4 linked regions of the Drosophila melanogaster genome follow. The protein of the gene in region 4 interacts with the protein of the main gene of each other region in a pairwise test. Each region holds a gene or a part of one and is shown on either strand. Other genes may lie near its edges.

Region 1 (7,759 bases), on a different chromosome or scaffold from region 4:
CTGGCCTTCCGTCTTGGCCGTGGGCACTTGGTTTTGTTTTGGTCATTATTTTTATAGCCCCGTTGGGCCGACTTCCCCTTGTGGCCATCGCATCGAATAGCCGTTGACCACTCCATTTGTGTTTTGTTTTCGCAAGCTTACTCGCGCATATTTATATTTGCTGTGGATAAGCCGCTTAGCCCGGGAGCATCGACATTTATTGCCGTCAACTAATGTCCTGCAGCTATTTGTTGGACATTTAAGCCTGGCACATTTTGGGGATTTCAGCTCGGCGGCGAACAATGAACTCCTTGGACCCACAATGCCAGTGACCTCTTTTCGGGCAAACTGAAGCTTATAAATGCCAAGAACAAATGAGCAAAAATTGCACATCCGCCCGAGCATCAAAAGGATAAGGCGGAAGTGCAGGAGACACTTCGGACTTAGACGCCAGTTGCCATCCTGGTGGGTACTCAAAATAAATTTCGAGCAAAAAGCACAAGCGATTCCGAAATCCCCGCCCATCGGCAGCCCGCATAAAAATACTCGATGACAGGACCAGAAATGTCTCGGTTATGGGGTCTGTGTGTCTTGGACTCTTTGGCCATCCGGGATATCATTTAATGTTGTGTATCTTCTGGTGGTTTTCTCCCTCAGTGCAGCCGAAATTGGCTTAAACTGTTGCAAGTTCATAAAACAAACAACCAAATTTGAAAAGTTGCGAGTGCCAGCCGCAGTCGGAAACTTTGCCATGCTGCCTGAACTTGAAATTTACGTTAGTTAAATTATCAACTTCAGCGTCTGGCCAAAAAAACTTTCTGTGCAAAACAAAGTCGTCGCTGCGTCCTTTTATTTTAAAGGAGTTTGCCGCGTCTGCTGGGTAATCGGATTTTCTTTTCCCGAATTTTCTAATAATTCTAAACTCTCTTCTCTATAAATCTGTTATTGTTCAGCAAGTATTTTATTTTCCTGGAAAACTATTAAAACGACTTTAAATCTATAAAATATTCCTACAAAGCGAATATATCGTATAAATATATATACTGGTTATAGATAGTTTTAAAAAAAAATCATAGTATTATTCTGTAGTTTTTACTTCAAAGACATAGATTGTTTTTACTTCAAAGACATAGATTGTGGTAACCACAATTCACTGTAACCATCGAACTTGGTCCGCAACGCCCACTTCCAGGAGTAATAAGCGTCATGTGTGTAATTTCGGCTTAAGATGGCCAACAATGTAAGCGGTTTAAATGTGTAACATTGTTGCCCAGCCAGGCATCAGTTTATTGGATTTGGCCGTACTTAGCTAGTGTGAGGAAAAATTATTGCCGACTGCCAGCGGACTTTGCTTCATACTTAAGCCGCTTAGCCAGCGAAAAGCCAACTACAAATTACAACTTATTATACAAGTTGAATCATCCAACATCCAAGCAATTTGTGGCGACTGAAAATGAAGATCCATTTAATAATCAAGAAACGCACACATATATTGGTTAATTTGTACACGAGCTCATATGTTGCCGGGCTTCTTTATTCATTTACAAACATATTTCTGGCATTATTCACGTTGCATTAAACTAGGCGTTAATAGTAATGAATACATAACAAAACAATTTTTAAATTTCACAAGTCGAGTTCTGAATTGTGTGTTCTTGTGTTTTCAAATTTTGCTGCCGATAATTTTCAGACTAAGTCAGCAATCGTGGGAATCGTGGGAATGGATGCCGGGGGTCTAGTGCGGTTGTTTTTGAATCAAGCGGGGTATGTAAATACTTCTCAAGCGGTATACAATCCACGAAGACTATTTTAAAGTAAACTAGATTAGATATGCACACGCATACGGATGTGTAACTATTTCTTTATATAAATATAGAGGCTGTGTCGGTAATTCTATTCCTGATTCAGGTTCTTGATCACGTAATTAACAATGAGGGCAAAAATTGCAAAGCAGATAATGATCACCAGGTTTGAATAGACGGACTGCCAGTTTAGATAGGAGTTCCGTGCACTATTCTGGACCGCCGCTCCTCCGCCGCTGGCCAAATCCGCCTGACCCGCCGCCCCGCCATCGATTGCGTCCGCTGCATTCAGTGGATTGGCCAAGCCGCCCACCGCCAGATTGCCATCCGCAGATGCCAGGCTCGCTCCGTTGGCCAGTCCGTTGGAACGCTTTACTCCATTGGCAGCGGGTCCGTCCACAGCAGCTGCCGCCTGTGTTCCTCGCAGCCGCTGCTTGATCTCTTCGACTATCTCCGGAAACAGCTCACAGAAGTTGGTGTTGCGCAGGTTAAATGCTAGTGATTTTTGAGCAAACATTTGCTTGTCATAGTTCGATGATTCGATGGATCCGAGTGTGGGTGTGCTCTCCAGCTGTGAAGGATTTAAGATTGGCTTACTCAAACGTATGATCATGTATTCGTAATAACTCACCATGAAGCTCAGCAGTCCAGTGAGAATGGTGCCTACGCACCAAGTCGGGTTCCAAGTGTCCGGATGAAAATCTGAAAATCCCAATAGGGTTGATAAGTTATATGTTTGGAACAATAGAATCTAAACAGATCTAAACAGATACACGAATATCTATTTGAAAGGTCGCAAAAAACATGTTTGACTAAGCCACAAAGTCCATCGGCTTCGTCAAACATAACTAAAACTATTCAGCGTTCAAAGTTAATGGTAGTCTTTAAGCCTGTAGTTACTACCCATTCTTTAATGTTCTACTACTGTGACAACCAATCCGCTTTATTTCTAGCTGTGGATTCGGACTCCTACGGATATGGAACTGACACATACCTGATATACTCAAACACAGTCTGGTGTTGGTCTTGAAGCGACCGTTCGGCGTCAGCATGTAGATGGATGGCGGCTTGAATGGGAACTCGCGCGGAAAGAGCAGGGTGCCGTGGTAGTAGCCGCCGTAGTAGGGCGAGTCCTCCGGCCCCTTGACGCAGTAGTGCCACTCGAGGATGTTGTTGGGCAGCGGCTCGGCGGTTATGTACGGCAGGGGATCCCGCTTGAGGCGCATATAGTCCTGCTTCATGCGCGACACAGCAGTGGGTTGCTTCCGGCCGCCGGACGTCGACGACGAGGACATGGTGTTGTTTTGGTTTTGCTAATTTTTAACGAACTTAATTACTACCGCCCAAGTTTGAAAACCTAAACTATGATCGAACACGACTGGCCTACTGGTTTTTCTCTCACTGTAGCAGATAAGATAGCGACGTGGCCCTGTGGAATAATTTGCAAATCAATTATACTCGTATCTGGTCGCATAAATACCAATACGTACCGTCCTTCTCCAGAATTTCGAAGCTGTCGAAGATTCTTGTTCGGTGTGTTTATCATGCGATGGATTTCAGTCTCGCCAGCTCGGTTGTTTATTGTTTGCTTTTCTAGTACTGGCAGCCAACCTCGGTAACAAGTGCGTTTTCTAATTGTTGTTGCTGCTGTTACTGCGTTTTTGTTGATTTTTTTTTAAATTGCAATGAAATTGAGTGAGAAAACAACGCACATATACAGGCGCACACGACCGACACCCGCACACACACACTCACACACGTGTAGGGGACAACTAGGGCTTGACTTTGGTAAATTTTGGTAGTATCACGAGCTTACTCCGCTACAGTGGATGCCCCTAATTCGTATTAATCACTTGTGGGGTTATATATCCGGGTTTGGAGCTGGCAATATCTTAATTTAATCTTTTATTTTGGCATGAAGAGTTTAGTGGTACCGTGTGCGGAAGTAAGTTTCATCTCCAGTTTAGTGTTACCAGAGTCTATGTTGGCTTCCTCACCACGTGGTGAAGGAGGGAAACTTTGCTGCATACGGTGAGAAAATTGGATGGAGTGGTGTATGTATCCGCTAATTAACTGACTCTCAAATCTGTGCAATTCTTTGAAAACAGTAAATATAGATCTTTTAGTTTTAGCCGATTTGCTGGACTATCAAATACCCGTTACTTAATGCGAGATATGATAAAAAGAAGAAAGAACTCTTTTCGAAAATTGCTTACTAGGCGGTATCTACTTTCCAACGTATCTAGTATACCCGGGTATGTCCCAAAATCCCTATGGCAATATTTTGTAATATACAAAGTAAATACTTTGGTTTTCTAATGTAGCCCTTTACAAATAAGCATGTGTATATCGCCTCTACTGTTATCACGCTCACATTGATAACGATTGTTATCTCTTAAAGTGCGGAATGTTTTTGAAACTTGGTAAGTAAGGATTGCCAAAGAGTACAGCTATATAGAAATTTATAGAAATGGAATCCAAAACACGAAAGTGGATCAACGCACGATTACAGGGATTACAGGGCATCGGCATCTCGCATTAATTTGGACTTCGTCACGCCGATTAATGGGTGAATGAGTTGCGGATGACAGTTGTTCTAAATGATAAGGAAATACAACGGCGGGCAAAATATTAGCAATCGCGGCACTTGAACTGTATTTTAAACTACATATTATATATAATCAATATTATCAATCAATATTATAATTGATTGTTATATAAGCTGAAATCATAATAACTTCACTTTAAATAATGGGTTGTAATTTATGATCTATTAAAAATTTGTCTCTATCTTAAGTGGATTTTAATGACTATTTTTATTCAAATATAATTCGATTGTAAAACAGCACTATTAATAGTTTAATGTTTTCTTTATTTACAATGTGTGAAAAGTTCTTAGTATTTATTATTATTTTGCCCCGCTGTCGATTGCCGAACCCACACATAGGAACCTCAATGATAAGCTCAGATCGCTGGGTGTGTTGTTCCCTCAACGCAGGGGATTGGGAGGGGGTTGGCCGGGCAAGATTTCTTATCAATCCTCGCGTCTGTTTTTGGTCAACGCCGGCGGCGGGCGCACAGTTGCCGTTCCACCAGCAGAAAGTTCAGTACTCACAGTCCGCGGACTTTTTAACCCATTAACTAATGTCGGCAATCGGAAAGATCGGATTCCTGGGAGGCGGGAATATGGCCAAGGCTTTGGCTAAGGGTTTCCTAGCGGCCGGTGAGAAAGCCACTAATAAAATAGATTTGTAGTCTGACATACTTTGTGCTAGACAATAGATAAGACACACTTGGATATGCAATATATATATGAACTAACATCATCTTATAATTAGATACAAAAGGATAGGACGTTAAGGATTTCATCATATAATCGCCAAATTTCCTAATTCATTTCCTAGGCCTGGCCAAACCCAATACCCTGATAGCCAGCGTCCATCCGGCAGATAAGCTCTCCCTGCAGTCCTTTCAATCCCTGGGAGTGGAAACAGTGATCAAGAATGCACCCGTTGTGCAGCAATCGGATGTGGTCTTCGTGTCCGTGAAACCCCAAGTGGTTCCCTCGGTTTTGTCGGAGATTCAGCCATTGAGCTCGGGCAAACTATTCCTTTCCGTGGCCATGGGCATCACTTTGTCCACCATCGAGTCCAGTTTATCTCCACAAGCTCGCGTCATCCGTGTGATGCCCAATCTGCCGGCTGTCGTGTGTTCCGGTTGTTCGGTTTTCGTTCGCGGATCCAAGGCCACAGATGCAGATGCGGATATTACCCAGAAGCTGCTGCAGTCCGTGGGCACTTGTGAGCCGGTGGATGAGTCCCAGTTGGATGTGGTTACTGCTCTGAGCGGAAGTGGACCGGCCTATGTATTCGTGATGATTGAGGCCTTGGCGGATGGAGCCGTTCACATGGGCATGCCCAGGGATCTGGCCTATCGTTTGGCATCGCAAACAGTCCTGGGCGCAGGTCACATGGTGCGGGACAGTGGTATGCATCCCGGACAACTCAAGGATGGGGTCACAAGTCCGGCGGGATCGACAGCAGCGGCACTCAGACAACTCGAGCTGTCAGGTAAGTTGGGATGATGACGCCGATGACGCACTCGCTTATCGCCGCCACTTCAACCTTTGATGTCGATTGCAGGTTTTCGGGCTGCGGTGTCTGGAGCGGTGGAACAGGCGACTCTGCGATGCCGGCAAATCTCGGGAAAGACGAAGTAGGCACATAGGATTATCATATACATATACGTACATTGGGGTGGGTCAATTTTGTTATTAAAGTTATAGTAGTTAAAGGAAGTCGTTAAATTTTGTTGCTTCTTGAAGAAACATGTTTTTAATTTGGAAATGTATGTTGGTGCTATAGTGCTTTCAAAGAGCAATGATGAGATGTTTCATTTTAATCGACCCACCCTTGTGCTTAATCTGGGTTAGTAGCTTTGCATAACTATAAAAACTGTGAAGGCCGATTTCGTGATACTAAAATATAAGCAACACTGCTATATTCTTTACTCTCAGCTTTGTTTATAGTCTAGCTAAAAATAACTAATTCAAAGTCGAGCCTAGAACTTCTTCTTCTTTTTGGCCCGGGACAGCTCATTGAGCTCGCCCTGTTGCACGGATGCCTCCTGGTAAATGCGCTTAACCTTCTCGTGGCGCTCCTTGTCACTGTGGATATGAAATACAATAGATTAGAAAGGAACGGTTAAATTGTAAATGGAACACAAACCTTTGCAGGGTCTGTTTGAGCCTAAGCATCTGAACGAAGGACGTATCTCTGCGTATTTCTCGAATGGCACCCTTCTTCTCGCGCTTGATCTTGTGCAGCAGTTTGGCCCGCTCTTCCTTGGCCTTGGACATCTTGGGACGACGTTTGTCATCGTAAACCGCCTCGAATCGAGGTTCCAGCAGCCTAAGAGCCTTGGGTTTCTTTTCCGCCGGAGCCAAGGGTTTCATTTTCTGCGCAGCTAGCTTCTCCGCCAGTTCGGTGGCATCCTTGTGGTGCTGATGCACATGCTCGGGGTAAGACTCCAGTGGAAGGCGGGAGAGTAGTGCCAAAAAGGGTTGGGCCAGGTAGCAGGCACCCACATGCTCTTCCACCAGTTGGAGAGCTTCCTTGATTAGCAGGAGGGAAGTGTCCAGTGCTCGAACCTTGAAATCTGGAGTGATCGTCTGGGTGACCAAGTCAGTAGGCTGCAGCTGTTGGGGCTCCAACTTCGTGGATTCCGTGTTAGCTGGAAGTGCTAGGAGCTTGCTCAATGGACCATCACGCTCAAAAGGCGGCGTGATCTCCAACTGTTCCACATCCCTCTTCGGTATGGACATGTGTACAATGCCCTGCAGGAAGTTGAATACGGCTGGAACCAGTCTCTTGGATTGGGACACAAACTCCAAGACTACGGTGACCAGGAACAAACCCATAGATATTTCCTGACGCGTTCGCACTCGTGATCTGGACAGGACGTGTTGTATGAATATAAAGCAAGGAGTGACCACCGGATGGCGGAAATCGGAAGTCGAGTACAAGTTGGCCACTAGTTTGAAGTACACCAAAGTGTCAAGTGAAGGATACATTTTGTGATTTTTCCTGAACTCTTCGTACTTCTCCTTGATCACCTCCAGTAATGTATTGGACATGCGCTCGGGATTCAGTTGCGTTAATTCATATAAGTAAGGCATGAGCTTTGAGAGCAACTGGAAATGTTCTCGTATGTCCTGCTCGCTGGCATCTTCAAACAAATCCTTCAGATATTGCAGCAAAAATGAGTACAACTTAACCACGTTCTCGCGGTTAACACCTTCCAGTTTGGGATGATTACATTTTATAATCCTTTCGATAATGATCGCCTTCTGGGCCGTAGCATGCTTGGAGAGCAGCTCCGTAAAGTCCTCGTAGGTCTTGGGCATCTTGATGGTAAACGGAATACTGGTGTCCAAGGAGGCGGGAATTGTATCCGCAGACTTTTTCGCTTTCTTTTTG
Region 2 (5,553 bases), on a different chromosome or scaffold from region 4:
CCCTTCTCCTTGTGATTTTCCTGACCTTCTTTGGCCTCTTGACCTTTCGCTTATAGTGAGTGACAGTCTTCTTTTTTGAGCTCGAGGAAGGTGAGGCTGTTGTTGTGGTGGCCGAAGCGGAAGTGGTGGTGGTGGCCGAAGCGGAAGTAGTGGTGGTCGCCGAAGCGGAAGTAGTGGTAGTGGCCGAGGCGGAGGTGGACGTGGTGGTTGTGGACGCCTCCGACTCGTGGATCATCACACAGCCGAGGAAGGTGGCGAGAAGTACGAGTACCACGGTGATCTTCATGGTGAGCAAATGCTACAATAGATGCCTTGCTACTGATGCTGTCTTGAAGAACGAAAGCCAGCTTTTATAGTAGTCTTCTCTACTGGGTTTATCCTCTTCGGCCAAACTGTGTCAGCCAAAGAAAAGATGTTATTTTTGGCCAAACAAAAATTCGCTATTTTTCGTATTGGCACAATTGTTTAAACAGATAAAATTTGCACATGTACAAGAGGCATGATAATCTATTTTTGTATGGAGCTTGTCATTTTGCGAAAATTTATTAACTGTTATTATAAAAATCACTTAAGCCACTAATGCCAACGGAAGTCTAGTTTTGTCAACCGTTACTTGGTTTTTAAATAAATGCAAATGACTTAGGTTAAATCTATATACGATAAACGCATTGTAAAAACTGCAGAAAAATTCAACTTTATATACTATACTATATATATAGATTCTTTACTATATATATACTATATACTATACTATATTCAACTATATATTCTGCCACTTAAATAATTTCCCCTAAAAAGTATACTACGGCTTTTAAAACACGGAACACATCAGCTTTAAACTTATTCTCTTAAGCAAATAATGGAAAAATATTAACCAATTAAAATGATTTTGCCATAAATTGTTTACTTTCATTTGTAGCTTGTCTGAATTATAGACAAACAAACACATTGTGTACGTAGCTTAGGAAAGCGCTATTATTAACTATATTAAATAACGTCTGGGGTAGATAATAATACTTAAGATTATAATATATAGCATTTATTGTAGGAGTATGCCCTTTATATTTTTTCTGAAAGTAACTATTTGATCAAAATTTCAATGGTTAATTATACGTTGTAACGAACTTGACATACACTTTAAACAACAAGTGATGCTTCTTATCTCGATCTGTTTTGTAAAGTAAATGCATAAGTAAAAGCATAAGTAAATGCTTTAAGCGGCATTGATAAGCAGAATGAACTAATATCGAAATATTCATTTTATTTGCCTTAAGTGTTTTGAACGGAAAAAAGAAAACCAAAAAGAAAAACTACATTTTCAAAGGCGTCACGATCAGATCAGTTGGTTTGTTGTACAAGATGTGGTCACTAAGACAGGCGTCGGGCACTTCGGGCTCTCCTGCGGCGGATGCGACTGTTACCACTGCGGCTACTGGTGCTGCCACTGCTGCTACTGCTGCTACTGCTGCGGCGACGACGACGGCTGCGTGTGCTGGTGCGATCGGTAGAGCTTTCGTCGTCGTCGGCCTTGTGCCTATAGATATGTCGTATCCGCTTTGGCCTATAAACATGACGTGTATAGTGATACGTCCTCTTCTTCTTTTTACTCTTTGAGGAGGAGGACGAAGTGGTTGTGGTAGCCGCTGTGGTAGTAGTTGTATCCGACGCAGTGGTTGTCGTGGCCGAGGCGGAAGTGGTGGTGGTAGCCGAAGCAGAAGTTGAGGTTGTGGTGGCCGTGGAGCCACCTGTCTGTGGGATTAGCAGACAGGCAACGGTGGCCAGAAGTAAAAGAACACAGGAGTAGCGCATGTTGGATGGCCAGTGGCTGGACAACTGATGTCTGCAGCCAGAGGCCGTGGTCTTTTATACTAATTACCACAGTTAAGCAATTACGTAACAAAATCTTTCATATCTTTTGCGTAGCGAATATAAATTGGACATACATAATTGGGCATTTCTTAAAAGTTATATTATATATTTGCACTTAACTTACTTGACTGTTTGAACAATTGGGCACAATGAACAATTGACAAACTTGCGGGTTTTTTGTTCTGCAAAAACGCTCCCTTTGTTTTGGCCAAAACTGTTGACAAAAATTTGCAAAAGAGGATAAACCCAGTTGAGAAGACTACTATAAAAGCTGGCTTTCGTTCTTCAAGACAGCATCAGTAGCAAGGCATCTATTGTAGCATTTGCTCACCATGAAGATCACCGTGGTACTCGTACTTCTCGCCACCTTCCTCGGCTGTGTGATGATCCACGAGTCGGAGGCGTCCACAACCACCACGTCCACCTCCGCCTCGGCCACTACCACTACTTCCGCTTCGGCGACCACCACTACTTCCGCTTCGGCCACCACCACCACTTCCGCTTCGGCCACCACAACAACAGCCTCACCTTCCTCGAGCTCAAAAAAGAAGACTGTCACTCACTATAAGCGAAAGGTCAAGAGGCCAAAGAAGGTCAGGAAAATCACAAGGAGAAGGGGTCTCAGGAGCCGCAATGGTCGCAGATCCGATGAATGAAAGATCCACAGGACCAATAGGAAATCCACTCCAATCCCAATGCTGAACCCAATGACAACCATAGCACTTAACTTTTGAATAGTTTATAATGAAATAGCAATATTGTTCGTTTATAAGGCAAATATATAAATCAATGAAATAGTATTTCTCATGTTGAATTTCTGCATTTTTTCAAATCAGTTTAAAATGTTTTTTTTTTTTTGGTTGACAGATTGACTGAATGTAAAGTTATCAGTAGTTGAAAAAGTTTGTGTTAATTATATGTATTTATTTAGTAATATTACGGCTGATCATAGTTGCATTTTCAAAATTCTAAGAATTGTATGATCTTTCGCTCATATATCATTTAGGTTAGTAACTTTTCTCACTTATAAAATGAAAGCTTTAATAAACAATCATCCCGCAAAAGTGTGCTACAAAAAAAAAGCTGTGTTTTGTGCTGCTTTTGTCTCTTGAACAAACAAAAAATAGAGATTAACTTAAAACGTATAATGCTTAATTTGTTTACCTTAGCTTATGTAGCATTCATGTTTGGACTTCGCAAATATCCGAATGCAAAAATTTTGGTAAGCAATAAAGATTGCTATGTTTTCGAGGTCAACTGGCGTCGTCTACAATTGAATACTATTGTATATTTGAACCATTGCAAATGGGTTTTCTGTCAATTGTTTAAATATTTGAATATTTTTGCTTGATTATATTTAAATGCAAAAATGTATGCGAACTTTCTCTTTCACTTGTTCAAAGATGTTTTGTCTATGTGGCGTCGTATAAATTTAGCTGGTCTGTACAATTATTTTCTATAATAACCCAGTCTATGACCATTTTGGTCTTTCCCACAAGTCTGTTTAAATAATAATAGGCTGATGATAGGATCATGTTTTTGCTAAACAATTGTTTGATTAATATTTACGATTAATCTTTACGTTTTAAATCCATTGATTATTTACCCTTTAAATCCAACGATTAATATTTACGTTTTAAAGCCATTGATTAATATTTACCCTTTAATTATGTTTTCAATTTGATTACTTAACTTGAGATTTTTTAATTTGAACGCACAGATAAATGCAAACCAAACTTGAGCAAGATCATGTTTTTCAACATGACGTTCCAATTTTGCCCATTAGTTTATCATAGATATATTCGCTTAATTAATATTCAACATACACAACGCTTTATTCAAGACTTTTTAACAAACAAAAAAAAAAATTAAACAAAAAGGAAACACCAGCATACTCTCAATACTGAAAGTAGTCATGCTTCTGAAAGTCGGTGAAGGAATCGATGTAGTCCTCGGGATGATAGTCAATGCTTTGGTAAGCGACATCAGGCTCCGTAAAGTCCTCGACCTTATAAAAAATTTTACATACGAGCAGCCAGGGCAGGACTATTAGCAGCAGTTTCCATTCCATTATCTCTCTCGCCCAAAATAACAGCGGTTTCTGCGATGACCGACGAAGTACTAATTAAGGGGAAGCTAAAGTGTATAAAGCTTCCATATAGCCATATAGCTATATAGCCACACAGCCAGGATGTGGGTCAGTTTGTGCAGCTGGCGTCTGTCCCTGTACAAGCTCAAATATGTGACTAACCCACTTTCATCCGCACAGCCAGCCGCCAGGTGGAATACTTTCAGGCGGGCGAAAAAAAAAAAAGAATCGAAAATGGGGGAAAGTAAGTGGCCAAGCGCTATGGCCAAGTCGAAATGCGAATTTAAACGCTAATTGACATAGAAATGCGTCGGGGAATGTAAAACTTAACGGAATATTAAACAAAATTGTCATAAAGAAACTATTTGAGCGAGAATTGCAGTTAAGGAAGTGGATGTATATGTATATAGAGTAAGGTATAGTAGGTACTTAGTTATTTAAAATCTTTAAAATATTTCTTATTTAGAATAAATTATATTTGTAGCAACTGTTTCCTAATTCGCTTTTTTCTCCATTCTTTCTTTACAGATCTCGGCTTGATAGAAAAAAAAAATGTTTTCGCGCAACAGATAGCTCCCAACCGAAGTGGGAATGATGCGATTGGCGCGATTTACGCAGGGTTTCTCGTTTAACAAGAATGTGGCCAAGGTGGTGGGGGAAATGGGCTTCAAAACAGCCGTTTATATGCTCTTTTTCAATTTTTAAACTTTGGTTCTTGCCAAGAAATATACAATAGAACACGTTTAAAGGCCAAATCATGTGTAGATGAAGAATTGTATATTTTGTGACTAAACCACTCTTGAATATGATAGAAAAAAAAAGGAAATTTATATTGATATAAGTATTTGGTTTCTCTGCATTTTTAGCATCGCGGCAGTGGCAGTAGCAACGGCACCGGAAACGGAAGCGGGACCGGAAACGGCCAGGGATTAGGTGGCAGCTGCAGTGCCAACGGCCTGGCAGCCACTGGCGGCGTTGGAGGGGGCGGTGGGAGTGGCAGCGGCGGCGGTGGGTGTGGCAGCGGGAGTGGCAGTGGGAGTGGCAAGCGGAAATCAAAGGCAAGAACAAAGTGCTTCGGTGGCACAGTGTTTCGGTGTTGCCTCCCTTGTCGCGGGGGCGGCTCCGCAGCCCCCGCCACAAGTCCGCCCCAAACACCAGCCCAGACGCCGGACGAGCTCAAGGTCATTCCGGAGGATTGTAATCTGGAAAAGTCCGCGGAGCAAAAGCGCGACTTACTGGAGCGGAACAACAAGGAGGACGATCTGCTGAACCGCACCGTATCCGGATCTGAGCTGGATCTATACGGCGGCGCCGGCGGCGGTACGAAAAAGCATTCGCTGGCAGACACCATCGATACATCGGTGACCACCCCGATTTCCCTAAAGACCCTGATCAACGACGTCGACGAGGAGCTGGACCAGCAACTGAGTGCGGCGGATATAGCGGCCGCCAGTTTGGCCAGCGGTCTGGTTGCCCGCCGAGCGGAACCAGAAACACTGAGCGACGCCAGTGTCTCACCCACCGCGGTGGTGCAGCAGCAGCAGCAGCAGCAGCAGCAGCTGCAGCAACCACTCTTGCAATCACAACCACATTTT
Region 3 (10,732 bases), on a different chromosome or scaffold from region 4:
TTTGGTTTCATTTTATTTTGTTGCAAAAATGGCTTTTAGCATTTCTGGATTTCTGGACTAATTTGAAAATATTTTCGGTGTGAAAAGTGTTGTGGGATGGTGGGAGGGGGTAGCAGGGGGGTGGCATGCGCGCTGACTGCGGAAAATTACAACAAACGAGCCGAGGAGGAGCATGGAAAATAAAACGTTCGCCCACACACACACACACATGTACACACGGACACACACAGTTGTTGTGCGCGTTTACAACGCTTTTTGCTGAGCAGCGGGGTGAAATGGGTGATGGTGGAGGATGATAAGGAGGAGGAGGGTTTGGGGGTGTCACTAAGCGTGCGCTGCCTCCGCTTAAAGTTATATAATTTTTGGCCAGGCCAAACAAACCATAAATACACACACTGGTTCGCACGAACACTTAAAAAAAAAAAAGAACAAGAAGAAAAAGTGGAAAGCAACAAAATTGGGCAACTCCATGGAAAAACGCCTCTCACCGCTGCTGGGTCGCTGGATCCGCCGGAGCAGCTGTTCCCGCCACCTCCCCCGCCGTCGCCAACGCACCTGGACACCAGGTCCGTCGCCCCCATCCCGCTATCTGCTGCGGATGACGTCGCCGCTCCGGTGCTCTGCTGCATTCTGTGCTCGGTTGTCGGCGTTGACGCTGGCGATGACTTTGGCTGTGGCGTTGCTGTTGCTGCTGCTGCTTCTCGTGCTCGTGCTCCCGTCGATGGTGCTATTTGGCATAATTTGCATGCCCCAATCGCTGCCGTCGCCCAGTTGTGACCGCGCGCGCGCCTCTCTCGCAACTGCTGCTAATCCGCGGGCCGTGTTCCCAGTGGCTGCTTTCTTGCGCGGCCTGGTCGCACTGCCCGTCTGGGGTGGCATGTCCACACTGGCGATATACCGTTAGCTTTTGTTATTACCGTTATGCTTTGTTGGCAGGGTCACACTGATCGCTCGACCTTAGCGGGCATCAGGCATATCTATTTCGAAATTTTGATATAAGACAGAAAAAGCTAAACAATCAAGTCTTTTTTCGAGATTAGAATAAACAACTTGAATTGTCACAACTTTGGCCCCTTTTGTTGCATCCTCCTCCCTGTGGATGATTTGAAAAGCATCATAGAATTTTCATATATTTTTTGTTTAATATATATTTCTGTTTAGTTCGCTCTGCAAAAATAAATTATATTACATTATGTACCTTAGGTTATGAAAGGTGTACTACTTCCTAAGGGTTAGAGAAAATCTTTACAAAAACAAAACTAATACCATTAACCCACATTTACCTATATTTGTATAATAAGTATTTGCTTGAATAAGCTACATTTTCAAAAATACTAAATTAAGATTGATTCCTTATTAATATTATCTAATTTATAGGAATATAGCGACATTTTCTTTAAAAAAAAAAAAACCGATAAATTCAAAAATAAACTGGAGTATTAGTATGATTTTCAATTATCAGCGGCTCTGATCTTTTCAACTTAACGATATGAAACAGAAAAGACAATGTAAGAAAAAAATATGAAATCCAGTAATTCCTAGTTTAGAGTTAGGATTAGAGCAGTACATTACATTACATTAGTACATATTCATAGCTTGCTGTATTCTAAATATTAATTATAAACTTGAAGATATTCGGCGATTAATACATCCTTATTCGCATCGCTTTTACTTGGTGACATTTTATTGAAGAAATAGATTCTCTTTTACAATCAGATATGAGAACAAGTTAATGCACCAGCAGGGGTCTCAGCCATCTCGATTCTATCGAATAAACGAGTTCGTTCGATGGCTAAGTACTTGTCGCGAATTCATGCTTGGAGTGTTTACGTAAGATTTGTAAAAATAAGTAAAGAACTGAATTCTCCATTTTTGCGTAGTTTTGTGCTTGAACCCCTACTGCCACAACTTTCCGTCGGCGATTTCCAGGGCCATCTTCGTGCGGAAGTACAACATTTCCGCCTGGGAGAAGGTAATCGGAACATCACGCGTTATATACTCGGCGAACATGCAGCTGAAGACACCGCAATCGCTGCTATTCCCTTGACGTGGTATATTCTGCGCGTTCTCGACAACGAAACCGGTCATATCAAACGGCTGTTTGCGCTTGTCTAGTGACTCTTCGTGCAGATATTTAACTAGAGCATCAAGCGCCGGTTGGTTTGGTCTTCCCATTGAGTCGTAATAGAAGATTGTCTTGTTACGCAAGTGTATGATGGCCATGCACCAGTGGACGTTGCCGCAGTGCACTGGCACCGGTATTATGTCCTTGCTGAACAAGTCCACTTTGCGAGTCCAGCGCCTAACGCCTGCATACCCAGCTTGCAGGAGACGGGGCATGAAGAATGTGTTCATGGCGTAAGTGGCGGGAAGTTCGCCAGCTCGCTTCTCCGAGCGTTCCGTCAGCATGGACATGTAAAAGTTGATGATCGCGTCGTTAAGCCATTCGCCATCAACAAACGTGAATATGTCGTCGGTAGTTATTTGTAGGTTATATTTGAAAATTAAGTTCTGAAATAAGATTTTAAAGCGCAAGCATATAAACGTTTTAAATGGGTACACATATAAATAAATAAATATATTCGTTTACCGTCGTAACCTCAATAGTTGTCATTTCTTGAAAGCGAGCGTGGTCCTCCTTTGTTAGCGGAATGAGCTTGGTCTCTTTCTTCTCTTCCGGCTGTTCCAGGGGCCCGATTTCAAAAAAGGGCCGGTGGGGAGCACCAGACCGGAACATGACTTCCCGCAGCTTTTTTTCATAGGCAAGGCGTTCATCTTTGCTTTCATTAGCCCTAAAATTGGAAAAAAGCCTCTTGGTACTGGGCCTAATTATAGCGTTACAAATACTTACTGCTGTTCAGCTATTCCAAGAAGATGCATGGATTCAAGTTGCCGGCGATTCGCTCTTGCTTTGAAATTTTCCGCAAAGTCATTCCTTAGAAAGATACAGTTGGCAAAGCGACGGTGCAAGAAGTCTGGTTTCTTGATTCTGGTAGTTGTAGGTTGAGGTGCGTCACTAATTGGTGATAAAATCAGGATTTTTGATTATTGCAAATTATTTACGTTTGGATATAAAGCATTTATTTACTTTTCCTTGGTTTCGTTGGCTTCGTTGGCTTCGTTGGCCTCGTTGGCTTCGTTGGCTTCCTTGACCTCCGGGCTATCTTTAACCAACATTGGCTCAGTGTCAGAAGATGAGCAAGTTGAACAAGTGCTGCAGGAGGAAGATGCGCTGCTGGAAATAGTGGACGCATGGCTGGCAGAGCTATTGCTAGCGTTTCGCTTTGGCTGCTGTGGTGCCGGAGACCTGTTCTCCTCATTCTCCTGGCGGTTGATCAATTTGGCGTACTCCGTTAGCTCAGGGTTCGCACGGCCATGTGGCGACGGGAACGAATCTGTTATATTCGATTGGTTGTCTTGCAGTGAGCAGCTGCTACTGGTTGCCGACTGGGCTTTAGCCCGCTGAAACGTTGGCGGGGTACCCGGCTTGAGGTAGCGACTGCCCACGTAATTTGTTTGGGTACGGATAAGTTCGTTATACTGCTCTTGATCCTTGCAGTTCATCTCGTGGGACAGAATGCTTCTGTGCAGCCGAGACGGTTCTCTGCGCACCGTATGGCTGGAGTGCCCATTTACGCGCGACTCGGAGATGCCATTATGGCCTAGACGCACCGCATCCGAGTAAGTCATGGGCCTGGATGATGGGCCCGCGTTAGCAAGTCTCTGTGACGACTCCTCATCGTCAAATGGCGTAGGTACGTGGGGGGCATCATTGCGCACTCGGTGCTGCGTGTATACCGGCGGATTAAATATTGAGAGCCGCTTTGAGCTCTGGGGCTGATCCCGCTTGGCCATCGAATTGTTGGGAATCAGGTCCTCGGCCGTCTCATTCGTTATCAAGCGGGGAAAGCTGTTGTCCACACGCCGGTACTTGATCAGACGAGGGTTCTCTTCTTGGTTGCTGAAAGTAGAGAAAAAACATTAATTGAAATTTTTACATGGGAGTAGCAATGAATGACATAAAATTGTTGCGCAGGCTTACCTAGTTGGATTTAGGTAAACAAAATTAAAAATAACATAAAATTCTTAATGCTTACCGTCTTTTCTGGGATAAAAAACTATTTTCCGGCTGGCGGCCGGCACCAAAACCTTTTCCGTTTTGAGCCTGGAATCCCGTTCCGGTATCCGTGGAGTCCGTTTCGCTTTCTCTGGAAGAATACCAACCGGATAGCATACCACGGATCTTTTTTAATATTTCTAAGCCCATCGAAATGTCTTCTTGGAGGTCTCTTTTCGGCGTGGGGCGTGGAGGTATTTCCTTAGTTTGCTCGAGAATCTCTCTCAGAATGGAGATGATCTCATCGGTGGCCCGGCCGTGTATAATTTCGGTTAGAACCTTATGGCACACATCGGCTAGCTTCTGGCGGAGAAGGAAAATTGACTTCCGGTGGGCTTCGGCTTCGGGTTGCTCTGGATCGGCCACCAGACTTTCAGAGATATCGCGAATTAGATTGAAGGTTTTGCGAATACAAATAGTGCTCGGATCGAGTGACTCTAGCTGCTCCCAATGTTCAGGTGAAACGGGGTCTGATATATCTTCTGAAGTAGATCCTGGTTGAGCTTCAGCGGGCGGTAATGGTGTCGAGACCTCATCAACAAAGTTCTGATGCTCGTGGCCTGTGTAACTAACCAGTTCTCTGTCCCGTTGGCCTTCGTTTACCTCGTATGCTGGTTGAACCTCAAAACTGTTTTCCTGGGATATTTCCAATTGAGGTACGTACGGAGTCGCAGTTTGTATAGTTTGTATATACTGGACCTTAGAATAAGCCTGGTTAGAGTGGATGGTGAATTCCTGCTGAATATACTGCCTCTCTTGGATATGATCTTTCTGACCTTTCTGCTGGTATTCAGAAAAGGGCTGCAACTTTCTCTTTTTGACCTTAGATTCGAACTGGTGGGTTTGCTTCTGGATCTGTGGTACACTCAGCTGATCTTGCTTCTGGAGCTGGAATTGTTGGTTCCCCTCAAAATTCAGGTAATGTTGATCTTCCTCTTGGTCTTCCGGTGTTAACTGCTCGTTTTCCTCCTGGATGTATGTTGCGAACGGGATGTCGGTTACATTGTGATAATTTTGTTTGTGAGTGTCAGTAACAATCTGCAGATCTCGCTTCTCGATTTCAGATGCGAACTGGAACCTTTCCTTTTGGAGCTCGGCTGTTTGTTGATCTTGCTCCTGATTATCAGATGCGAACTTTAGATCTTCATTATCATAATGGATCTCGATTACGAACTGAGGACTTTGTTGGTTTTTCTCCTGGATTTCAGGTATAGTGTGCAGATCATCAGATTCGAACTTTAGATCTTCATCATCGTCATCCTGGATCTCGATTACGGACTGAGGACTTTGTGCCTGTATATCAGTAACAGAAGGAGATGCAAGCTTCGTAACTTCGGTTACGATCTGCTGGTTTTGCTCCTGAATCTCAGCAGAAAACGAGAGATTTTCCCATTGGATTTCGGAGACAGCCGAGTAATCCTCCTGGGTCTCGGTTATAGTCTGATGATTTTGCTCTTCAGTTACAATCTGGTGATTTTGCCCTTGAATATCAGACGAGGTCTGGAAAACGTTCACTTGGATTTCGGGGGCAGTCTGGTGAACTTCCTCCTGGATCTCCGTTACAGACTGGTGATTTTGCTCCTGGATCTCTATTACAACCTGAGGACTTTGTACCTGTATATCAGTAGTGACAGGAGATGCAATCTGAAGACATTTCTCTGGGATCTCGGTTAATGTCTGTTGGTTCTGGTCCTGAATCTCAGAGGCACGCGTGAGATTTTTTTCTTGGACTGCAAGGACAATCTGGTTTTCATCCCGGATCTCAGTTAAAGTCTGATCCTGAGCCTCAGTTGCAATCGGATGATTTTGTTCCGAGATGCCATTTTCAAATTTCTGATCTTGCTCCTGGATATTATTGATTTGAATTTCGGGGACAACCTGGTGGAATTGCTCCTGGCTCTCAGTTATAGTCTGGGGATTGTGCTCCACGATATGTAATATAATCGGTTGATTATTCTCGGAGGCCTGATCGCATAGTTGGATTCCCGTTCCTATATGAATGTTTTGTTGATATAGGACTGGCTGATTGTTGTACTGCTGGACATAATATGCGACCTGGTTGTTTTGGTCAAGATCGATCAGGGCATCAACTGTAAGGGTGATGGTCGGTAGTGATGGTGGTTCTGGCAAGGGGGATGGAAATCGCAGTCTTATCGGCGAATCTATCAATGGACAATTTTGCAGCTCATGGAGTTGATGTATTGGCGATCCATCTGGAGAGTAACGCTGATTCGGAACTGGGACACACCGCGGCAGCAGCGGCGAGTAGTTCTGGCTAGGGAACGTAAATCGTGAATCCCCTGGCGGGGAACAATACGCATTAGTGTTCAATGTCTCGAATGCCTGTTCAGTTGGCAATAAGTGCGATGTCGGGAGACCTTGGTTCTCCGCCCATAGGAGTTGTGTTGCTGTGGCGTTGGCTGCTGCTTCTTCCGATCCTCTTGGCGCTACTGACGGATTACCCCAACTTGGAAACGTGCTGCGGCGTGAGTCCACATGAGACGCGACGCGCTCAATCACGTTCGGGTGAGCTGCTGGCGACGGCGAAAATCGCTGTCCTACTGCCGAACCGACTACTCGTGCTGCCGACACATTGCTCGCGATTTGGAGTGCGGATTCGTATGCGGAATTTGTGGACAAATCGGTGTCCTCGGGAGGCAGCGACATGCGTGTGTTCGCTACCGCTTTCGCTACTTTTAGCTGCAAATTGAAATTTAATCAGAAATTATTTTTCCACACGCATTCGCTTTCAAGAATCGCAAGAAGAAGAATAAGCAAAAAAGGAAAACGAGCCGGCAAAAAGGAAGCCCGATTTTGCGCATTTTTCGCTGTTTTTCGCCGTCTTTGCTTGGTGCCACTTCTGCGGCCGCCGGAAAATGCCGACGCTGCTATTGCACCGCACTGAGTGCCACACCACAAGCGCCTTGCAACAAACACTTACCCCTTGGCCAGGTTTTAAACAATGTACACTTTTCACTGTGACTTGAGAAAATTTTCGCAACTTAGCTCGATGAAAATTGAGTAAAGAAAGAAAATTTCGGTTTTGGCGTACTGGTGCCTTAGTATGACCGTACAAGATATTGCTCTATAATACCAAACCAATCGATATCGGCCAACAGTGTTGGGTCTGGCTGCCGCATCATAGCAGGCAGCTTTCGTCACGCAGCGAATGTAATTACCTAGAAATATCTGAGGAAATAACGGCATTTAGTCTTACTGTAAAAATACGACAAATTCGGTGAAAAGGGAAATTTTTCGTCAATATTTTCCAATAATATTTCAATATTTTCAATATTTCTTACACAGCGAATTTTGTAAGAACATGCATTTTTTTTAGTGTGCGACAGATTTCTAAAAAATTGAACCAATCTCTAGAATGAACGCAACATTTTATACTTTTAAACTTATTTTAATCGGAAAAAAACTGTCCACATTTCCAAAGTACAGTAGTCAGCACAGCTTAATGGAAAAATAGCTAAAAGGCTATAGCTACTTCTGTAGCAGTTCTTTAGGGATATTTTAAAGGCCAGCATTCCATTCTTTTTTCAAATTGACGTAATAAGACTTTTAAGACTTATGTTAAAATGTATGTAGCTTGCTTATAGTTTATATATTTATTTATTAATATCACTGCACAAATACAACAACAACGTCAGCCACAGCAGCACACACACACACACACATACACGATGCCTTGTTGTGTGAGAGTGCGCGAATTCTTCAGTCCCTCAATCCTTGCTCTGGCAGCAGAAGAAGAGGAAGTTCCAGAGCAGCGTGGTAGTTCCGTAAAGGGCGCCGGCCAGTCCCACGGTGGCCTGGAAGGAGTACCGCTCCACCACCCAGTGGGCCAGCGCGCCCCAGAGGAGAACCAGCAGGCCGTTGGTGAAGTGCACCGGACGGCGGATGGCCGTCCAGTTGGCCCGCGTCATGCCCATCTGGAAGACCAGCTCCTGCAGAAAGGCGGTCACCACCTGGCCAAATCCCAGCAGCACGGCGGACACACTGAGCAGCAGCTTGGAGGTGGAGAAGCTGATGACTGGAAGCGAAACAAAAGATGGATCTATTGATGGCCCGGGGAAAGCTTGAAACGGGTATCATGACTCACAGATCAGCGCCAGGCACTTGCAGATGCTGCCCAGCGTGTGCCACTGGAGCTTCCGCTTATAGAGGCTCGTGCCGAAGCGCGGAGTCATCAGGGAGAAGCACATCCATGGGAAGGCCAGCAGCGAGAAGAGGAACGGGATCTCGGCGTTCTTCAGCGCATGGTGGCTGACCGCCAGTCCGGGTAGCACCGTCAGGCACATCACGTAGCTAAAGATGTCCGCCGAGAGGAGCAGCGTGGTGGCGTACAGCTGCGGCACCAGCAGCGCCTGCTGCAGCGGCATGGCGATCTTGTCCAGCAGATTCCACCACAGGTGCGTGGTTACCGCACGCGACATCCGCCGGATGCGGCGCTGAAAATGAGGAGCATACGGAAAGGTTTCACATCCGGTCACCATATTCCACAAAGCCTGCGCACTACTCACCAGGTTGGCATAATCGGGAGGTAGGGGTGAGGAGCTACCTGTACCAGTTCCCGTTCCTGTGCCCAAAGGATGCTGGGGCGTCAGTGGATAGAGACGTCCATTGGACAGGGACTTGTGCGACATCTGCGAGGCGGACATGGCATAATTGTCGATGGTCGCATTGCTCGACCGCATCATGGACACCGTCTCGTCCTCCTCGGGTATGATCTCCATAATCTCCACCCCGTTGGGATTCACATACGTCACATACGCCTCATCGGTGGCCAGCATGTAGTTGCTGTGCGTGTCCACCACCACAGCGGCGGCGACGGCACCACTGGGCGTGGCCATTTCGGTGGTGGCCGGATTCCGCCATGAGAGCGTGTCCAATCCGTCCAGCTGGTCCGCCACCAAGTTGGCCGCCAGTGCGGCTCGCAGCGGCAGTGCAGCGAATCCCGTTTCCGCCTTGATCACCGATATCCGCTTCGTGGTGAAGGCATCCTCGCGATGCTTGGTAATGATCAGGCTCAGCGGGATGAGGTTCACCAGCAGGGCGGACATCAGTACGATGGACTGGGCGGTGCCGTACAAGGTGCGCAGGCTGGTGAACACGAACGAGAGGAACAGCTGGCAGAAGGCCTCGCCGCACAGGTGGATCGTCTTGCGGACGTACTTGTCCTCCCGCGGACGCACTGCCTCCAGAATGACGTGCGTCTTCCACAGGTACAAGCTGGAGCCGATACCTTGGACAAGGCGATAGAATGTTGTGTTAAATTTGTCGCTTTTCCGCTTTGAAAATAAAAAATTCTGTCGAACTTAAGTTTAACTTTAGTTTGGGCACAGTTTAACATCATTGATTCTTTAATCGAACTCCTTGCGGCATAGAACTATGAAATTATTGAATTCCATTTATATTTGAATACATAAACAAAATCGGACTGATAAGGCGTGCAGTGTAATAATGACACCCACTAATATATATATATACGTGATATGTGATATATTGGGTATACGATAAGCGACTTATTATCACAACGAAGCTGTCGTTTTATTTGAATAAGTATGAAAAATATCCTAAACTTTCTTTTAAAAGTGCTGTCACAAATAATAAACTCCGCAGGCACAACTATGTTTATAAGCACAACTGTACAAAAGGCTTCCCGCCTTTTTGGACTTGAGATTGCAGATGACAGATGATTAGCCCCAACTTGTTACGGATGACTGAATCCCAGGTAACTTACCTGCAAAGAATCCGTAGAAGACAATAGCTACCACCTGTGTGGTGGTTGTGACCACGATCCAGGCGGAGGAGAACAGGATCCCGCTGACCATCAGCGATACGCAGGCAATGAGCGTGGCCAGGAGGAAGACCCGTCGGTACTGCGTCGTCTCCCTCGATCTGCCACTGTACTCTGTGTCCAAGTGCTCCATGATCGAGCGGCAGAGCTCGCCTGTGGCCTGGTAAACGATCGCCGGCCATATCCTCAACACCAGATCCTTGTCGGACTCCACCACGTTCCCGTACAGATAGGCGGGTGTGGCCAGGAAAGCCTAGATCTCAATGGGATTAGAGAGACAACATGATGGCATATACCATATATTTACGTGTATGGCGAAGCCGCAGAGCATATACTTTTGCTGGATGTGCTTCTTGACCACCCTGCGTCTCTGGATTCCGGCGGTGGCTCTGGCAGTGGGTCGTCGCACTGGACCGGAGGCAGCCACGCCCACGCCCGCCCCGCCGATCGCTGAGGTTGCCATCTAGCTGGCTATACCGATGTGCGGCTACGGGGACTCTGCTCGATGTGGACTAGATGGACGACTAGATGGCTAACTCGGGAAGGTTGATCCGTATCCGTTCGCTGGGCGCTTGGAATTTTTGTGTGCGCTCCGTCTAGCCGCTGGCATTCATCATTCACCAAACCCCAAAAACCGTTTAGATAATGGGCGCTAGCACACACATATGGAGCACACACGAACGGTACGGACCACCAGTACCAGTACCAGTAACCATACCCGGAGAATCGGAGAACCGGAGAGGCAGGCTGATAACATCGGGCCTCTTATCACGATATACCACAGATATACCACAGAGATATCTCTGTCCACA
Region 4 (8,034 bases):
GCGCCATTTTGCAAACGCATTTCCGCTGCAGCCGCACGTGCGGTTCAGTTGGCGTTTCCCAAACTGGGGATGACCTTTTACTCCCATCCAAGCCAGATAGATGTGAAATAGCAGTGATCAGCACTTAAGACCTAAAATGAAAAATATAGCAGATATTTTCAAGATTATAGAAGTCCAAACTTCTAACAATTTACTTGATAGTTTTCAGTTCTCATATCCCAATTTATTGGCCGTGAATCACGAGTCCATCTTCATCAGTTCGAAAACAGTATGCCCAGCAGTCATGTTGAAGTTGGGTAAATGTTATAAGTGCTCTATTTTTGCTGCCGGCATCATTTTTGCCATCCCCAGCGCCCATTCAAAGGCATTTTTAATTGGAGATGTATACGGCAGCTTAACGCAACGGATAGCAGTTGCAGTCCGCAGAGCTGGGCAGGGCAGTTGTACCCATACAGCGGAGGAGTAGCTGCCCCACAGAATCCCCGTATTCGGGTTCCAGGCCAAAAATAACCAGAGCGTAGCGGGCCGTATTGAGTCGATAATTGGTAACGCGTCACGTGTAATGCTCTCAAAAGCCAAAAATGGAATTTCTAATTAAGTTTTACAGGGATTTAATATCGACTATCTGCAGATCCCATTACGTCCATCTCCTCATCCTCCACCACTGGCCAGCATCTGGTGTGTACGAACCTTTGGTCAATTAACACATCAACGAGTTAAGAGCAGAAGCCCAGTCCCCAGTCCAGTTGGAGCACAAACTGGCCATCGGTGGGGGCAATTCCACTTACTTGCCAGAACATTTTCCTGCTGCTGCTGCTGCTGTTGCGCTGCAATTGCTGCTGTTGATGCGCTTCGGGGATTAGAAAGTAGTCAAAAGAACTCGGAGATGGATGGACGGGATGGCCACCGGCAGTGTTCTCGCCAGATTGGAGCAGAGTGAGTTATTAAAATCTGCTTAGAAACGTAGTTTATGGAACTTTGCTTGGAAGAGTCCTTCGGCCATTTAGAGTGTGCCCGGAATTAGATTTCAGTTTTGGATCCTCATTTAGTCAGCTGCTTATTTAATGCATGTATTTATGATTTCATTTACTATTTATTTATTTATTTATTGATATCAAAGTACTACTATATAATTCTTGCCAAACCGATATGAACTTTTTTCAGTGCACTCCGTCAATATGATGAATATAGAATCTGAATATGGGCAGGCATCGGCTGTCGAAGTTGGGCCAAGACAAGCTATAGCTGTGGCAGGCAACCCGTCACTCACCCACCCACCCATTCACTTATTCGCTCATTCACCCATTCATTCATTCACTCATTCACCCATTCCCGGGCCATCATTTGCCAAAGCCTCGCAGCAGTAACAATTGATATGCGTGTACGTGAGCTGAATGGCGAGCCTCCTCGCCGGAGGGGCAATTGAATCGATGTGCGCGGAGTGCGGCAGTGGCTCCATTGGGGAGTGGGACGGATTAGGGCAAACTTGTGAGCCAAGTCAGTGGAAACTTTGGCAGTTGGCGGGCGGGGGATTGGACCGAGATGGTAGCCTTAAAGTGTATCAGGCGGAATGGAAAACTTCTGCTCCTGGCCCACTACGACCGACGTTAGAACGCCGTGCGGGAGTTGGGCGGCTGGTTCACTGCTTCCTGCAGGAAACGCCAAATGTGTCGCCCATGTCTATTCTTATCAATTAGCCATTTGTCATTTCCGAGTGCGCAAACAAACGGCCGACAGCCGGAGCATTGCCAACTTCAATCCATAACTCAGTCGCAGTCCGGCAAAAGCCGTTGGGCATGCGCTGTCTGTCAGGCGGCTTGTTCGCCTACCCGGCAGTCAAACAAATCGGCGTATATATATATGGTTATGAACAGGAATTTACACAAAAATGCAATCAGCGCGGCTGATAAATTTACAAACTTCGTCCGAAGAATACAGAGTGGCACGCTGTCGCGTTATCATAAGCAAATACTTACATTGCATGAACGAGGACTCAAGGAACTTATCAGTTCGATTCATGGATACTATCACAGCGTAAACCAAATGGCGTATGTTTGCTTGTTATATTTGGCTATCAGTCCAGATGCATTGGAATGAATTCTTCATCAGGATCAACCGTCGTGTCAACAGCTATCGTTCTTGCACAATAGATAAAATACAGTAATGGGTATCTGATAGAATTTTTAATCTTCGAAAGCAGTCCATCGAGAATGTCAGTATCTATAAATACTTTATGGAGTGGGAAAGGTCTGGGACAATAAACAAATGTGGCAAAAGATACTATGCCAGTATCGCAGCATGGGGTTGATGTATTCACAGAGTCCTTGAAGGCTATGTAAATATTTACTCGTGATAACGCAACATTTGCTTGTTCTATCTATGTATGTATTTTGTATATCTATTAGCAGCGCTGAATGCATTTTTGTGTAAATTCCTGATCATAACCATTTGGCCGCCGCTCATCCGCTCGTCCGCTGATTTCTTTGACTGCCGGGCAGGCGAACAAGCCGTTTGACAGACAGCGCATGCCCAACGGCTTTGGCCGGAATGGGTATGAGTTATGGTTGGAAGTTGGCAATGCTTCTGCTGTCTGCTGTTTGTTTGTACACTCGGATGTGACAAATGGCCAATTGATAGGAACATGCAAAGAGTCTATCGAATAAAACTACGTACAAAGTTAAATTGACTACAAGACAGAATGTTTGATTTGCTGGAGTTGTCCTGTCAATAACATTTACATTAATCTTGCAGAATATTTGTATATATTTTTAAATTAATATCCAATTCATAGCTTTCTGGGTGTCTGTAATCATAAAATAGAAGACAAAAAACATGTTTTTTTTTTTTAACTAAGAAAACAGACAAAGAGACAGAAGAAGTACTGCTTTCATAAACAGTCACCATATATGATACAAATTGGTTACGGTTTCCAGATAACGCCTTTCCAAACGCTGTTCGCTTTTCGATAGGCGATCTGGCCCGGAGCGATATCAGTTGATTAGCGGCGATCCACTCGAGGAATTCGTTGTGGGCCCCTCGAAATTGTGTCACCGAGTCAAACATTCGAAAGTGGCGAAGAACAAAGGGTCGGATCAACTGGTGAGACCAATCAATCAACCCACAACCTCTGCGATACAATCTACAAGTGCGTAGCTATAAATCCCCATGCCCCACGAAAACCGTAGAGTTCGTAAATCATACATGTCCATATGATATGGTGCACCAATGTGACAAGATCGCATTTCTCTGCTGGAAATTATGACAAGTTGTATGTGCGATTTCGGCTTAATGCCGGCGTCAATCATTGGAAATTCATCAGAGGCCGCGATTGGCGGCGGTCCGCCATTTCCAATTTGGACTGCAAGGCGGATTCGCCGGAAAAAGCGAGCGAAAGGAAAAGTCGGGGAGGGTAAAAACAAATCAACAGTTCGAATTCGCTCTTGTTTTGTTCCACATTCGCCGCAGACGGAAATCTCTTATACGAGCCGGAAGAGAGCGGAAAAACTCTATCGGATTTGGAGTTTCTCGGCGATTTTCACAGAGCACAGGTGAAGTGCCTGGGCCTGGGCAGGTAAATTCAACTCCATTGTGGATAATTTTACTGAGAATTGAAAAACTTAGTTTTTAGCGCAGCATATACAATATAAACTATACTGTAGCTTAAATGATAAGTTTTAAGGAAACAAAAACATAGAAACAACTCCAAATTATGATTTAAATGTTAATTTGATAATATAAATCCTTGCAGGTCCTTTACAGCGCTCTCCACACATAAACTTTGTAAACAGTTCCACCGACGAGCGAACAGAGTCCACAAAAGAGAAGCGCTCGCTCTCTTAGCATCCACACTTACATGCAACGGAGTGGTGCGCTGCACGTTACATTCAATCGGATTCAATCGCTCGTCGACCTTCGTGCCGCGCGTTACAAGAGTCGCAGTCGCTGTCGCAGTCCGCCGTCTCAGTCTCAGTTTGTGCCCCCAGTCTCAATCCAGCTCTCGTGACAAGAAGAACAGAACGCCTTGGCCACTGGCAACGCGGTCGCGAATCAACGCAGTTACCCATCTCAGGCTTAATCGGCTGGCAGCCAATCGCCAAGAGATCCGACAGATACGGATACGCAATCCGCGCAGCGCGAGTGCAGAGATACGAATTGGTCAGGAATAAGATACGGTGCAAGTGGCACCCAAGATGCGGCAATTGTGCACCTGCGGCCGCCAGCAGCGTGCGGCAAAGTGTGTGAAATGTGCTACCTGAGAAAATGCCCACGGAGTGCTCAAACATATCGAAACAAACCAGCAGATAGAGTATCTTTTGCTGCCCCAGTGAACAACAGTGCTTGAAATTTTAGTAGAGAAATCGTTGTTTTTTGCTACAAACTAAAGTGCAAACGGAATACAATCAATATACACCTTAAGTCAACGCAAAGGCTAATTCAAAACTCTTGGAATATTTAGGTGAGTTGAGAGTGAAGAAAGGCCTAACTTGAAAACAATCAGTGCTCAATGCTCAAAGCAATCATGTCAATAAACAGGATTTCCCCATAGAGACTTTGCAATGCATAAATAAATATTGAGTTGCAAACAATCAATTAGTGCGACAAAAACAAGTTTATGTCAATTACTAACTAAATAATTCATTTATCCGAAAAGAAACCAGAAGAATATTGGCCCAATCAAATGTATCTCATCAAGGCGCATTCCAGAGATCAAAAGATATCATTTCCAACCCGTTCTCCCCATTTCTTACGGTGGCTGTCCCCTTGCCTCATTAATTAAACACAAATTAAGAAAGAGCCAAGCTGTCAACATCTGGGGCTAATCAAACTAACCTGCTGTATTTTATAAATAAGAAGCGAAGAAGAAAAGCGGCGGCAGGTCGTAAAACGCTAAGATACTGCCCTTATCTCCTAAAGAAAGATCTTTCTCCGAACACTTTGTGCCTCCGACGGCTGTTGCACACAGATTCTTATCTCGCAGATGCAGTTATGTATCTAGATATTCCGCAGTACAACCTCAACCTCGAGTCTTTGGCAACTTCACACTCCGCTAGACGCGCAACGAGGCCCCTGGATTTCATAATTTTCCCGCTGTTCTGCGGGGTAATTAAGTAGAAGTATGTTTGGCAATTAAAGTTCCAGAGACCTCGCTTTCGCTTTTTCCCCCCGCAATCATCAGCTTTTGTAAATAACTCGAGTTATTTTTCTTGCTCACTTGGGATGGTTTAGAAATTTAAGATTGAGATTGGGCATCCGATGGGTAGCGATTACCGCGAGCTGCGAAGATGCAGCCGCAATCGCGCATGCATAATTAATTTCGTGTAAAAATCATAATTACACCAATTAAAATTTGTGTAAACAAGTTGGCAGCAGGCGGGCGAGTCCCTCAATCTGCCCCAAGCGCCGTTTGGGGCGCAATCATTATGATAATACCGCTGAAAAAACTTTTCGTGGTCGATTGCGAGGGGAACTCTTTATTGCCATTGTAGAAAAAGTTGGTGGGCCCAGGCGGAATTGAGTTGGCTATATTATGGTAATGAGACGTTTGAGTATGCCTCCAATGAACAACAGATTTGCCGCAGATTTGCCCAATCTGCTTTAAACTGCGCCTAAAACCCATAATTCGATGTGCGTGAAAGAATTTAAAGCACCGAAGTTCATAGATGCATCCACATAGCTACCATTAACAGGTTGTATTCAATATTTTATTCAAATCTAACTAAAATACTAAGACAGCAAAGTGATAAAATTGATTAGCAATGAAATTATGAAATGCAATAATCGCTAGTTTTATTTCATTGCCACTGAATCCGAAAAATACGTTATTCATTCAAACGTTGCGTTGAATAAAATGTGAAATATGTTTGTGGAATTAAAAAAGGTGTATAAAACTATATTTATAAATATACAAAGTGTGCAGCTTGGAAATTCATGGGAATTATTATGAATTTATTTTGTACATAAACACACATCTCTTTCATTTACCTGCAACCATCTACCAACGAAATGAAAATGTGTATCTCAATTTTTGGGGGGAAAATATTTTCTTTTGTCAGCTGGGATTACGATGGAAATGGGGCAACAATATTTACCATGTTCTTCTGCAATTTTAATAAGGATCCATTTAAACAGCATTGATTAAACTTTGTTTTCATTAAAATCTAAACAAAGCCCATTCATGCAATGTCAAAAATAAATAATAAAATGTCTAATTAGACCATTAAATCCGATGGCAATATAACAGCCAGCTAGTCGCATTTGAACTATTTAAGTTTAATTTGAAATGCCAAGGTATATTTCTTCTTTAAATAAGTAAAATTCCACCGACGTGCGGCAATTTATATTAGTGTCTTCTTCAACGAATTCAACTTCCATTTAACCTCATTCTGTACACATCGCATCCCCCAGGTCATTTTTCAGGGGCTGGCAAACACAACAGTCAACAAAATTTATACCCAAGAAGTGTCATTCTCGTGTGCATTTCGGGCTTTTTTTTTGCCGCTGGTTCGACGAGATCGTGTCGCTGCCCACATGGCTGCCACCGAATTGCTGGCGGAGACTCCAACTCCTCCGCGTCCCCTAATTAATTAGCATCTAACTAAGAATAATGTTTCCTGCGGCCCTCGACTGTCATAACTTGGCCGCAAGTTTATTTGTTTGGCTCGCCAACCGAAGGCGGCGCACAAAAGACATAGCCACCATTCCGTGAGATACAGATACAAGTACACAGATACAGATACAGATACGGGGGAAAACTGGAGGCACAGATGCCAAGACGGCGCACAGGTGCCACATTTTCTTCGATTGCAGGGGTATAAATGCCGCCAGGAGCACTAATTCGTGGCTGCCACTCCGCATTTTTGTTTGTTAGTTTCGTTTGGCTGGGTTTTTATGGCCAGTGTTGGTTTTTTTTTTTAGTTTTTATACACTGGCGTTCTTGTGTTAACTTGTAAAATAATTACTGACGCCGTTGTCTAGTACTTGTGAGAAAAAAAACGTTGAGTGTTTCGGCAGCTCAAAGTGCCCATAAATATCCGCATCCGCAGCTGAGAATTTCCAATGAAATGATTTCAAATGAAATGACTTGGCGCCAGCTCCATTCCCTTAAAATCTGTTATGTGCTTGCCACATTTGTTGTTTCGTCTTGGAAGCTCAGAGACCTCAACTTGAGGTTTTCAGCAGTTTCGTTTCCTTTTGGGTTTTTGCTCTGCTGCGGCGCTTAATTAGTTCAGAAAAAGTTGAGTGCGTTAAAGTATCTCGAATATTTCAAGCTGTCAGGAGTTTGGCGATTGGACAGCAAGGAGGAAAGCTGATGGAAAGAAATTGAAATGGAATTTAATGGTAATTGCTGGGAATGGACGATAGATTGTGGCTGGATCAAAGTTGCCCTCTGTGGTTCTCAACCCAGTATCTTCGATCCAGATAGCGTTCTCACACTTTCCCTTTCAGCCAAACAGCCAAACTCACGAGCGAACCCTTTTCCTCAAGTCGGACCACACATCCATTAAGATTTCCTGCTTGGCTTCCTTTCGATAGTGGTGACCCTTATCTGGGCCCCTTCTGAACACATTCTCCTCCTACTCCTATATATATTTTATGCAAATGTCACCGGGTGTGCCCCCTAGATGTGCCTTCTACGGCGAGGATTTCGTCGAGCTAATTAAGTTTCGGTTACAGTTCACTGCGCAAAACGGCGATCGCTGCATATGAAATGTGTATTTGAAATACTGAATTGGCCCTCTGATGCGCGGCGGAAATGAATCGCCGCTCATCAACTTGACGACGAATTCCCGCATGTGTGATCACTGAATAGGGCAGTCTTATATGCATTATGAGAGGCCTGTGTCTCCCCGTCGATTTGTCGGAGTCACTGAAGCAAGTCGCTGCCGTTTGCTCATCTCGAAAATATACATCGTCGATTGCGGACATGGATCCATCCAAACATTATACGCATCACAAGACAATGTAGCGTCATTAGCCCTGCCTTGGACCCAGCCCTATTTCCACTTCCAGTTTCTCGGTGCAAACAAAAAAAGA

Evidence for each region.
Region 1: the proteins of smal (region 4) and CG5823 interact in a two-hybrid assay, tested with the Drosophila melanogaster proteins (one large-scale study listed by BioGRID).
Region 2: the proteins of smal (region 4) and ng4 interact in a two-hybrid assay, tested with the Drosophila melanogaster proteins (one large-scale study listed by BioGRID).
Region 3: the proteins of smal (region 4) and Ulp1 interact in a two-hybrid assay, tested with the Drosophila melanogaster proteins (one large-scale study listed by BioGRID).

The regions. Positions count from the first base shown.
Region 1 is NT_033777.3:17,530,848-17,538,606, forward strand, and holds CG5823 (uncharacterized protein), read right to left. Parts: upstream 3,741-7,759; 5' UTR 3,272-3,740; intron 3,211-3,271; 5' UTR 3,077-3,210; coding exon 2,776-3,076; intron 2,484-2,775; coding exon 2,413-2,483; intron 2,353-2,412; coding exon 1,873-2,352; 3' UTR 1,478-1,872; downstream 1-1,477. Other genes in the region: P5cr-2 (Pyrroline-5-carboxylate reductase-like 2), read left to right, coding at 4,926-5,004, 5,186-5,851, 5,924-6,000; l(3)07882 (lethal (3) 07882), read right to left, coding at 6,342-6,447, 6,509-7,759.
Region 2 is NC_004354.4:3,240,249-3,245,801, forward strand, and holds ng4 (new glue 4), read right to left. Parts: upstream 3,973-5,553; 5' UTR 3,941-3,972; coding exon 3,767-3,940; 3' UTR 3,706-3,766; downstream 1-3,705. Other genes in the region: ng2 (new glue 2), read right to left, coding at 1-286; ng3 (new glue 3), read right to left, coding at 1,369-1,809; ng1 (new glue 1), read left to right, coding at 2,202-2,525; dnc (dunce), read left to right, coding at 4,550-4,606, 4,825-5,553.
Region 3 is NC_004354.4:19,200,976-19,211,707, forward strand, and holds Ulp1 (Ulp1), read right to left. Parts: upstream 7,213-10,732; 5' UTR 7,059-7,212; intron 6,818-7,058; 5' UTR 6,785-6,817; coding exon 4,098-6,784; intron 3,962-4,097; coding exon 3,089-3,961; intron 3,017-3,088; coding exon 2,852-3,016; intron 2,793-2,851; coding exon 2,591-2,792; intron 2,512-2,590; coding exon 1,897-2,511; 3' UTR 1,128-1,896; downstream 1-1,127. Other genes in the region: CG7990 (uncharacterized protein), read right to left, coding at 489-629; CG14195 (uncharacterized protein), read right to left, coding at 7,846-8,153, 8,223-8,571, 8,644-9,365, 9,864-10,173, 10,228-10,383.
Region 4 is NT_033779.5:6,175,244-6,183,277, forward strand, and holds the start of smal (smoke alarm), read left to right. Parts: upstream 1-3,889; 5' UTR 3,890-4,456; intron 4,457-8,034.